Linked DNA regions of Oryctolagus cuniculus. The protein of the gene in region 1 purifies or fractionates together with the protein of each later gene. This does not show direct contact. Links are inferred from orthologs where the notes say so. Each region holds a gene or a part of one and is shown in the gene's direction. Other genes may lie near its edges.

Region 1 (3,805 bases):
GATAAGGGATAGCGACTCTATGGATGTACAGAACCCTTCACCATGGTAAAGCTCGCTAACCCGCTGTACACGGAGTGGATTCTGGAGGCCATCAAGAAAGTGAAGAAGCAGAAACAGCGTCCGTCGGAGGAAAGGATATGCAACGCGGTCTCGTCATCCCACGGCTTGGATCGGAAGACCGTCTTAGAGCAGTTGGAGCTCAGTGTTAAAGATGGAACGATTTTAAAAGTCTCCAATAAAGGCCTCAATTCCTACAAAGATCCTGATAATCCTGGGCGAATAGCACTTCCTAAACCTCGGAACCATGGAAAGTTGGATAGCAAGCAGAATGTGGATTGGAATAAACTGATCAAAAGGGCGTTTGAGGGCTTGGCAGAGTCTGGTGGCTCCACTTTGAGAAGTATTGAACGTTTCTTGAAAGGGCAGAAGGATGTGTCTGCGTTATTTGGAGGCAGCGCTGCCTCTGGCTTTCACCAGCAGTTACGATTGGCCATCAAGCGTGCCGTTGGCCACGGCAGACTCCTTAAAGATGGACCTCTGTATCGGCTCAGCGCTAAAGCGAGCAGCCCGGAGGGGAAGGAGACGTGTGAGTCTCTTTCCTGCTTACCTCCGGTGTCGCTCCTTCCACACGAAAAGGACAAGGTAAGAGCGGTTGGTAGGCATCAGCGATCCTCCAGCTGGGGATCCAGGCCTGCGACAAGGTCACGTTCAGAGGGTGTTGACACTCACATGGAAGCCATATCCAGGTTTTGTGTGTGGGGACCTCTGTGGAGGGATCATGTGTGGTTGGTTATCATTGTGGCTGTGAGAACTTTAAATAAAGGTGCTGATGGTTCCGTTACTCTGAAATATTTGAAGCCTAAGATTCAAGGTGTAGAATGTTGATCTACCTGGAAGAACTTGTTTAGATTAGAATTAAAAATTGACAAATGACTTTAAGACTTATACATAAAAATTCTTAGGCGATCTGCCTAAGACAGTGCACTGCCTTGCTGAGTGGCCAGGTGCTGTAGTTGATGTGAATTTGAAACAAGCAGATGACTCCCAGAGCCTGTCTCTGTGTCTGCCCTCTTGTTGCAGGTTTGCATTAGGAGTGAGAGGATCTAATGCCCCGTGGGGGTGGCTCAGCCTACTTGGCGTTCTTGTTTCAGCTGTTTGCCGTACAGATTTTGTCTTGTGTTCTGGCGTCTGCGTGCGATGAGGTCCTCATGTTATGGAAGGCAGCTCTAGTTACGGGGCAGCCACACAGTGTCCTGACTCACAAACGTTCTGGAGAGCTCGGGTCTGGTGCACGGAGGGGAGGCCTTACAGCGCTGTGCGTGCCATGCCCGCACGCTGTGCAGCTGACAGGATGGTGTCTCTGCGGTAACTTTGGCTGCTACAAGATAATTTGGGAATGAGGAGAATTTTGTCAGTAGCCGGTTCCCCCCACTCCCAACACTGACTTAATAGCTGTCAATTTTATTTCAAGTGCTCTGAGTTGTAGTTCTTTGGGGAGCTCTGTTTTGGAGTTGGGTTCGCCCTGTGAACTTGGAATAGAAGCATTATCTATGGTTGTGACTGTTAAAGTCTTTCTCATAGCGTCATGAATGGGTAGAGTCCCATTCACCAGGCAGTTGTGGGGCACTCCTGTGTTTATGGAGGAGTGTTGATGGACAGGCCGCCAGCATGCTCTGTCTTGTAGTTCCGTGCTGTGGGAACCTGACCTGCTAAGAACCGTTCCCTGGTCATGTGGCTGAAGCTGAATAAAATGTAACAGCTGGATTCCTACACCTGTTACCCAGTGATTTCACAGGCTAACTGCTTGGAAGCGGGAAACTATAGTGCCGTACCTGTGAGTTGAATATTGTTAAGTTCTTGTTAGAGCACTTGGGTATTTGCTTTTCTAGTAATTCCCTTACTTGAATTAAATCTTTTAACTTTTGAAATATTAGTCGGACATAAAAACGTGAGTTGGGTGTCCATTTAAAAGATAGTCGGTGTGGTACAGTGAGGGAGAAGCCCCGGCACCCCGGGGTTGGACTTTTGAAAGGCAGCGTGGGAACCAAGGGGTCCAGCGAGCCTGGTTTTGCAGCTGAGCCTACGCCCTTTGCTGAGGCCATTGCCTGGCTGGCACCTTTGTATTTTAAGTTCGATTCAGTAAAGATCTGCTGGTTCACTTTGGTTAGAGAAACCTGACTGATTTCCCCGCTTTAATACATAGTATTGTTAACTGAAGTAACTAAGTGTAGAGTTTGCACTGGGGAAAATTGAGTTTCACTGAGTAGACGGCTTGTGGGTGCTGTTGTCTTTGGAAAGCTGATTTTATGATAACATCCTTAACGTTAGAGTTGATGAGATTTGTTCTTTGTATTTATTTGAGAGGCGGAGGGAGGGAGGGCGGGCGGAGGGAGGGAGGTACTCACAGGAGCAGGAGTGCATGCTTTCTCGGCTTGTTTACTCCTCGGGTGCCAGCCTTGGCAGGGTGCGGCTGCAGGAGTGGAAGCTGGGCGCCTGGAGCTCAGTCCAGGTTTCCCACGTGGGTGGCCGCATCCCAACTACTTGACAGCCAGAGTGTGCAGCAGGAGGAAGCTGGAGTCAGGAGCTGGGGGTGGGCTTGGACCCAGACACTGCCAGGGAGCAGATCTGTCCACCCGTGTCTTGGTCCTTGAGCCAGAGGCCCCCCCCCCCCCCCCCCCCCCGTTCTTTATTTTTCAGTGAGGTCTTTGAGGAAAGGTTTCCGAGGGACTCTCGCCAAGCTTGTGGAAAGCTCACACTCAGTCCTGACGCGGTGGACTCCGGGGGCGGGGTTGTTCCTCCGATGAGCATGCCCTGTCTGTGCCTTTATTGTGTTTCCACCGTTTTCCATCCCTTCCTTCAGACCAGCCAGCCCGTTCCTTTGCAGAATTGTTTGGCTTGCTGTTACGAACACAGAGAACCTTAAGTAAATAAACAAAATCCAGAGTTTATTTGACAGTGCTGGAGAAAGGAAGTACTTTTACTTTTAGGCATTAATTAATTCAGCAACTAGTTGCTGAGTGCTGCTGTGGGCCACACACTGTGCTGGGACTGAGATGGCTTTGTTTTCTCTGCAGTGCCGTCTTACCTGGCTGCTGTAGGGTGGGTGATGTGGAGTGGCCGGAGCCGGGGCCTGTTTACTTTTTCCTGTATCAATTCTGTTTACTTACTTGTGATACTAACTTTCGGGGGGGACCTGTAGAACCTGTTAGATTTTTAGCAGCTAGGTTATTTTTGTTCTTTTGGGGAGATCAACTGTACAGAAGTATTTTTAAGAGGCATTTTTGAGAATATCAGTGAACTTCAGTGTGTTCTTACATTAAATTTCCTTCATTATTTTTTATTTATTTGAGAGACAGCCTGCCATCTGCTGGTTTACTGCCCAAATGCCGACAGTGTCTGGTGCCACGCTGCGGCTGCAGTTCTGGTCTCCCACGGGCATGGCAGGAACCCAGCCACTTGGGCCATCACCACTGCCTGCTCTGGTCTGCAGGCAGGAAGCTGGTGTCAGAGAAGTCTGAGCTGGGAGTCAAATCCAGGTGCTCCCATGTGGGTCGCGGGCACCAGTCGCCAGGCTAAACGCCTGCTCCCTAGTGTATTTTCACACTGAACAGTATGGAGGTGGGGCCAGCGCGGTGCGGCAGGTGAAGTTGTGGCTTGCGACTCTGGCGTCCCATCTCAGAATGCTTGTTGGAGTCCTGACCACTCTGATTTGGATCCAGCTTTCTGCTGATGGATCTGGGGAGGTGCTGGAGGATGGCCCAAGTGCTTAGGCCCCTGCAACAGATCTGAGAGACCTAGATGGAGT
Region 2 (3,905 bases), on another chromosome or scaffold:
GTTGTGAAATGAAATAACGCCACACTACCCCCTCACCATTACTCGGAGCAGGTTCGAAGGGCACGCGTAGAGCCCTCAGCTGAAGACCCCATTCAAGCCCTGGGAGGAAATGGAGAAGTGCAAGGGGACGAGCAGCAGGATGGCCGGCGCCGCCTCAGGTTAGCGCACCGGGCCGTCCTGGTTGTCAATAACGCTCAACTCAGGACAGACACACCCGACCCAGGTCCCTCAGCACGGAGCCCGTTCGTACCTCCCACCTCAGAAGGCCCGAGCTCAGGGTAAAACGTGGGGCTCTCCTGTGCAAGGCCGTGCCCGACTTGATAAGAACTAGGAGGGTTGGCCAGGGCTCACTGAGGGTCCCCGAGGGCAACGTCTGCGACCCGACTCGCCTCGCTTCTTCCCCCGCCCCCTCTTGGCCCCTCAGTCCAGTGAGCATACGACTCTATTTCCCAGGCTCCTGGCCCCGAACGCCTTACTTGGCTTCCGCTTCCGGTGGCGCCTCGCTGTGCCCCGCCCCCGAGCCGCGTCCTCGGGGGCCTCGCGACACGAGGGTCGTGAGTGAGCTGTCCTGGGATTCGTAGTTCGCTTTTCCCTCGCTTCGCCGGTCTCTCGCCCTAGCGGACTCCATCTCCCAGCGTCCACCGCGGCTCTCGCCCCTCGGCGCTTGCGCGTTGCCCTCTTCCCCACCCTCCCCGATTTCCACTCCCCCCACCCGACTTCGCCTGCCGCGGTCGGGTCCGCGGCCTTCGCTGTAGCGGTCGCCGTCGTTCTTTGGAAGCAGCTGTTCCCCTCCCCCACCCCGGTCCCGCTCCCCGTCCAGCTGGTGAGTGTGAAGTGGTTGCCCCGCGGAGTTCCCGGTCCCTAGGAGCGGCACATGGGGTCTCCCCGCCTTGAGGTGGGGGCGAGGAAGGAAGTGACCCGGTCCGTAACCGTGGGAGGGAAGGGTGGCCGGAGAGCGGGAGGCAGGCTGTGGGGACTCCGTGAAAGAGTACCTGGCGGTGCCCGCCCCTCGCCCCGGGTCGTGAGAAAAGGAGGTGTCGGTCGTTGCTTGGCAAAGATAAACTTCTAATTCTTGGGGAAGGGTGCCGGAGCCCTGCGGTGGTAGGGAGCCCGAGCCGAGGACTCTGCCAGAGTTGACACAGGCGAGAGGGGTCTGGCCATCGGGGGCGCGGGGGATGTAGGTAGGGACTGCTGGGTCGGTACTTGTGGGCTCCTGCCAAGGAATTTCTAAGTTCATTCAGAGAAAAGGGGCCGAGGTGTAAATAACAAGAGCTAGAGAAGCCTGTCCCAAAGGCTGGGATCCTTTAAAAAAAAAAAAAAAAAAAAGGGTGGCCCCAAATTCTTCCATGGCTGAAAGACAGAGTGTGGGAGGAGGGAAGGTGCCAGAGCCGGGGAGGGAGAGCTTGGACTTGACTCCTGTTTCCAGCTGACGTGAAGATGAGCAGCTCGGAGGAAGTGTCCTGGATTTCCTGGTTTTGTGGGCTCCGTGGCAATGAATTCTTCTGTGAAGTGAGTGCTTTTCGTTCTTCCTACTCGCTGGTTCCATGCGTTCAGGTTGGGTATCTTCAGCTTTTGCACACTTTATCCCGTGGAAACTCCTTCCCGTGAAAGAAGGGGTCCCCTCAGTAACCCCCCACTAATCAGCGGCGATGTGGCAAGACTGGGGCCCAAGTCCCATTTCTGTCACACACCCCACCGCACCCCCAGGAGGATAACATTGAACTAGTCAGACCATCTTTTTTTTTTCTTTTTCTTTTTTAATTTTTTTATTGTACTTAAAGTATCTGAAGGTAGAGCAACAGAGAAAGTGAAGGATCTTCTGTCTACTGGTTTATGTCCCAAATTTCTACAACAGCTACTGCTACCAGCCAGGCTGAAGTAAAGATCCCAAAACTTACCTGGGTTTCCCATGTGGGTGGCAGGGACTCAAGTACTTGTGCCATCACCCTGCTACCTTCCAGGGTGTGTGTTAGCAAGAAGCTGGAATTGGAAGTGGAGTTGGGACTTGAACCTGAGCATTCCAGTTTGGGATGTGGGTTATCTCTAACCATGTAGGAACCACCGTGCCAAGTGTCCTTTCTCCTTTGCTTTTTCATTACTAGAATGCTACTGGTAGTGCTTATCTCTGGGGGCTGTTAGGAGAATTGGAATACTGCACCTTAAAATGTTCTGTAACATGCAAAGCTCTGTGTTGACATAAGGAATTCTAACCACCTTCAGAAACCAAGCTGTTCAGCCTCCACCTTCCTCAGAGAGCAGCTGTTCCCTCAGGAGAGGACAGAACTGGTTCCTAGAGATGAGGAACAGGACTAGAGACGCGGGAGTCGAGTGTGTCTCTAAGGAGACTGCTGTGCTTGCTTGTCCTTGGAGGAGAGAAGCTGGAGCTTTCACGGGGGGGAGGGCGTGCGTGTGAACTCGGGACAGCGGCTGAAGTACTGACGCTGAGTTGGAGTAGGAAACAGGCAGACCAGACGCAGCCGTGTGGCCGACAAGGCGTTCGTTAGGTGACCTTGGCCAGCTCAGAAGCTGGGGGTCCCAGTAGGAGTTTTCCTCTTGACCTCCGTGTTCTACCAGGTGGATGAAGACTACATCCAGGACAAATTTAACCTTACCGGCCTCAATGAGCAGGTGCCTCACTATCGACAAGCTCTAGACATGATCTTGGACCTGGAACCTGGTGAGACACCCTCAAGGTTCATGGTGGGGGGGCTGTTTTTCTCTTCAAATTACCTCTTGAATTTACCTCTTGAATTTCTAAACTTCCTTTTGGTTCTCTGACACCCTTAACCTCAAAGTCCCAGCAGCATTTTTGCCCCCCTCCTTGAATTCTTGCCTAGTTTTGTGACTGATAGCACTTGCTGCCATACTTTCTGAATTTGTAGCTCAGCGCTCCTCCTTATGCGAGTTTCCTCGCGGGTCTTGTTTACTGCCTCTTTGCCTGCCTTGCACCCTCCAGTCTAGAGTTCCACCTTCTGTGTTGACATCTTTGTATTTACGTACTAAGGAAGGAGTTGGGAGGGAGAGAAGAGAGCAGAGGCTGAAGAGGTGTGGAGAGAAGGCTGGGCTTCCTTGGGTTGGTGGAAGGGGCAGAGACCCAGGTTAAATGCCCACGTGAGGACTGGGTGAAGCTCAAGGATGGGTGCTGGGCAAACTGGGCAGCCAACAGCCCTGGGGGTGGGCGGGGCACCTGGGAAAGCTGGAACGCCAGTGGTTGCATGTGGCTGGCCCATATTTCAGACGAAGAGCTGGAAGACAACCCCAACCAGAGCGACCTGATTGAGCAGGCGGCCGAGATGCTTTACGGATTGATCCATGCCCGCTACATCCTCACCAACCGAGGCATCGCCCAGATGGTGAGGCCTCTCTGCGCCTGCGTGACTCCTTGTGAGGCAGTAAGGGAAACAGGTTCCTACAGTGAGCAGTAATCTGGCAGCCCTGTCAAGGAGTCGAGCTGAGATGAGAAAAACCCAGAGTTTGGGCCGGGAAACTGAGTCCTCCCTGGACGTCCTGCTGAGGGGGTGTCTTCAGGGAGGGCGATGTGAGCTTGGTCAGAGTTGTGGACTGCTTCTTCCTCAGAGAACAGACGGCAAATGGCCCTGGATGTCATTAGCCTCCCTAACTGGGGGGAAAGTTGGTGGGCCCCTTTGATCTGCACAAGGACCTCCAAGAAGAGGGAGGAAATGTGGAGGACAGAGTTATGTGGGGGTCGCTGCTTATCCTCATACCCACCCACCAATCCCTTCCATTTTTTTCCCTTCAGTTGGAAAAGTACCAGCAGGGAGACTTTGGCTACTGTCCCCGTGTATACTGTGAGAACCAGCCAATGCTTCCTATCGGTGAGTATTGAAGAAGGGAGAGGGGGCACCATCTGGCAGTCCTCTGGGAAGGAGTTGGGCTCAGCAAGG

Evidence for each region.
Region 2: the proteins of KAT6A (region 1) and CSNK2B purify together in Homo sapiens (affinity purification with mass spectrometry; 3 studies listed by BioGRID and IntAct, with this or other methods). This does not show direct contact. The link is inferred for Oryctolagus cuniculus from reciprocal best matches to the Homo sapiens genes KAT6A and CSNK2B.

What each region holds. Positions count from the first base shown.
Region 1 is NC_091433.1:92,275,664-92,279,468, reverse strand, and holds part of KAT6A (histone acetyltransferase KAT6A), read left to right. Parts: 5' UTR 1-42; coding exon 43-642; intron 643-3,805. UniProt on the Homo sapiens protein: Histone acetyltransferase that acetylates lysine residues in histone H3 and histone H4 (in vitro). Component of the MOZ/MORF complex which has a histone H3 acetyltransferase activity. May act as a transcriptional coactivator for RUNX1 and RUNX2.
Region 2 is NC_091436.1:138,947,406-138,951,310, reverse strand, and holds the start of CSNK2B (casein kinase II subunit beta), read left to right. Parts: upstream 1-1,418; 5' UTR 1,419-1,437; coding exon 1,438-1,509; intron 1,510-2,574; coding exon 2,575-2,677; intron 2,678-3,237; coding exon 3,238-3,353; intron 3,354-3,760; coding exon 3,761-3,836; intron 3,837-3,905. UniProt on the Homo sapiens protein: Regulatory subunit of casein kinase II/CK2.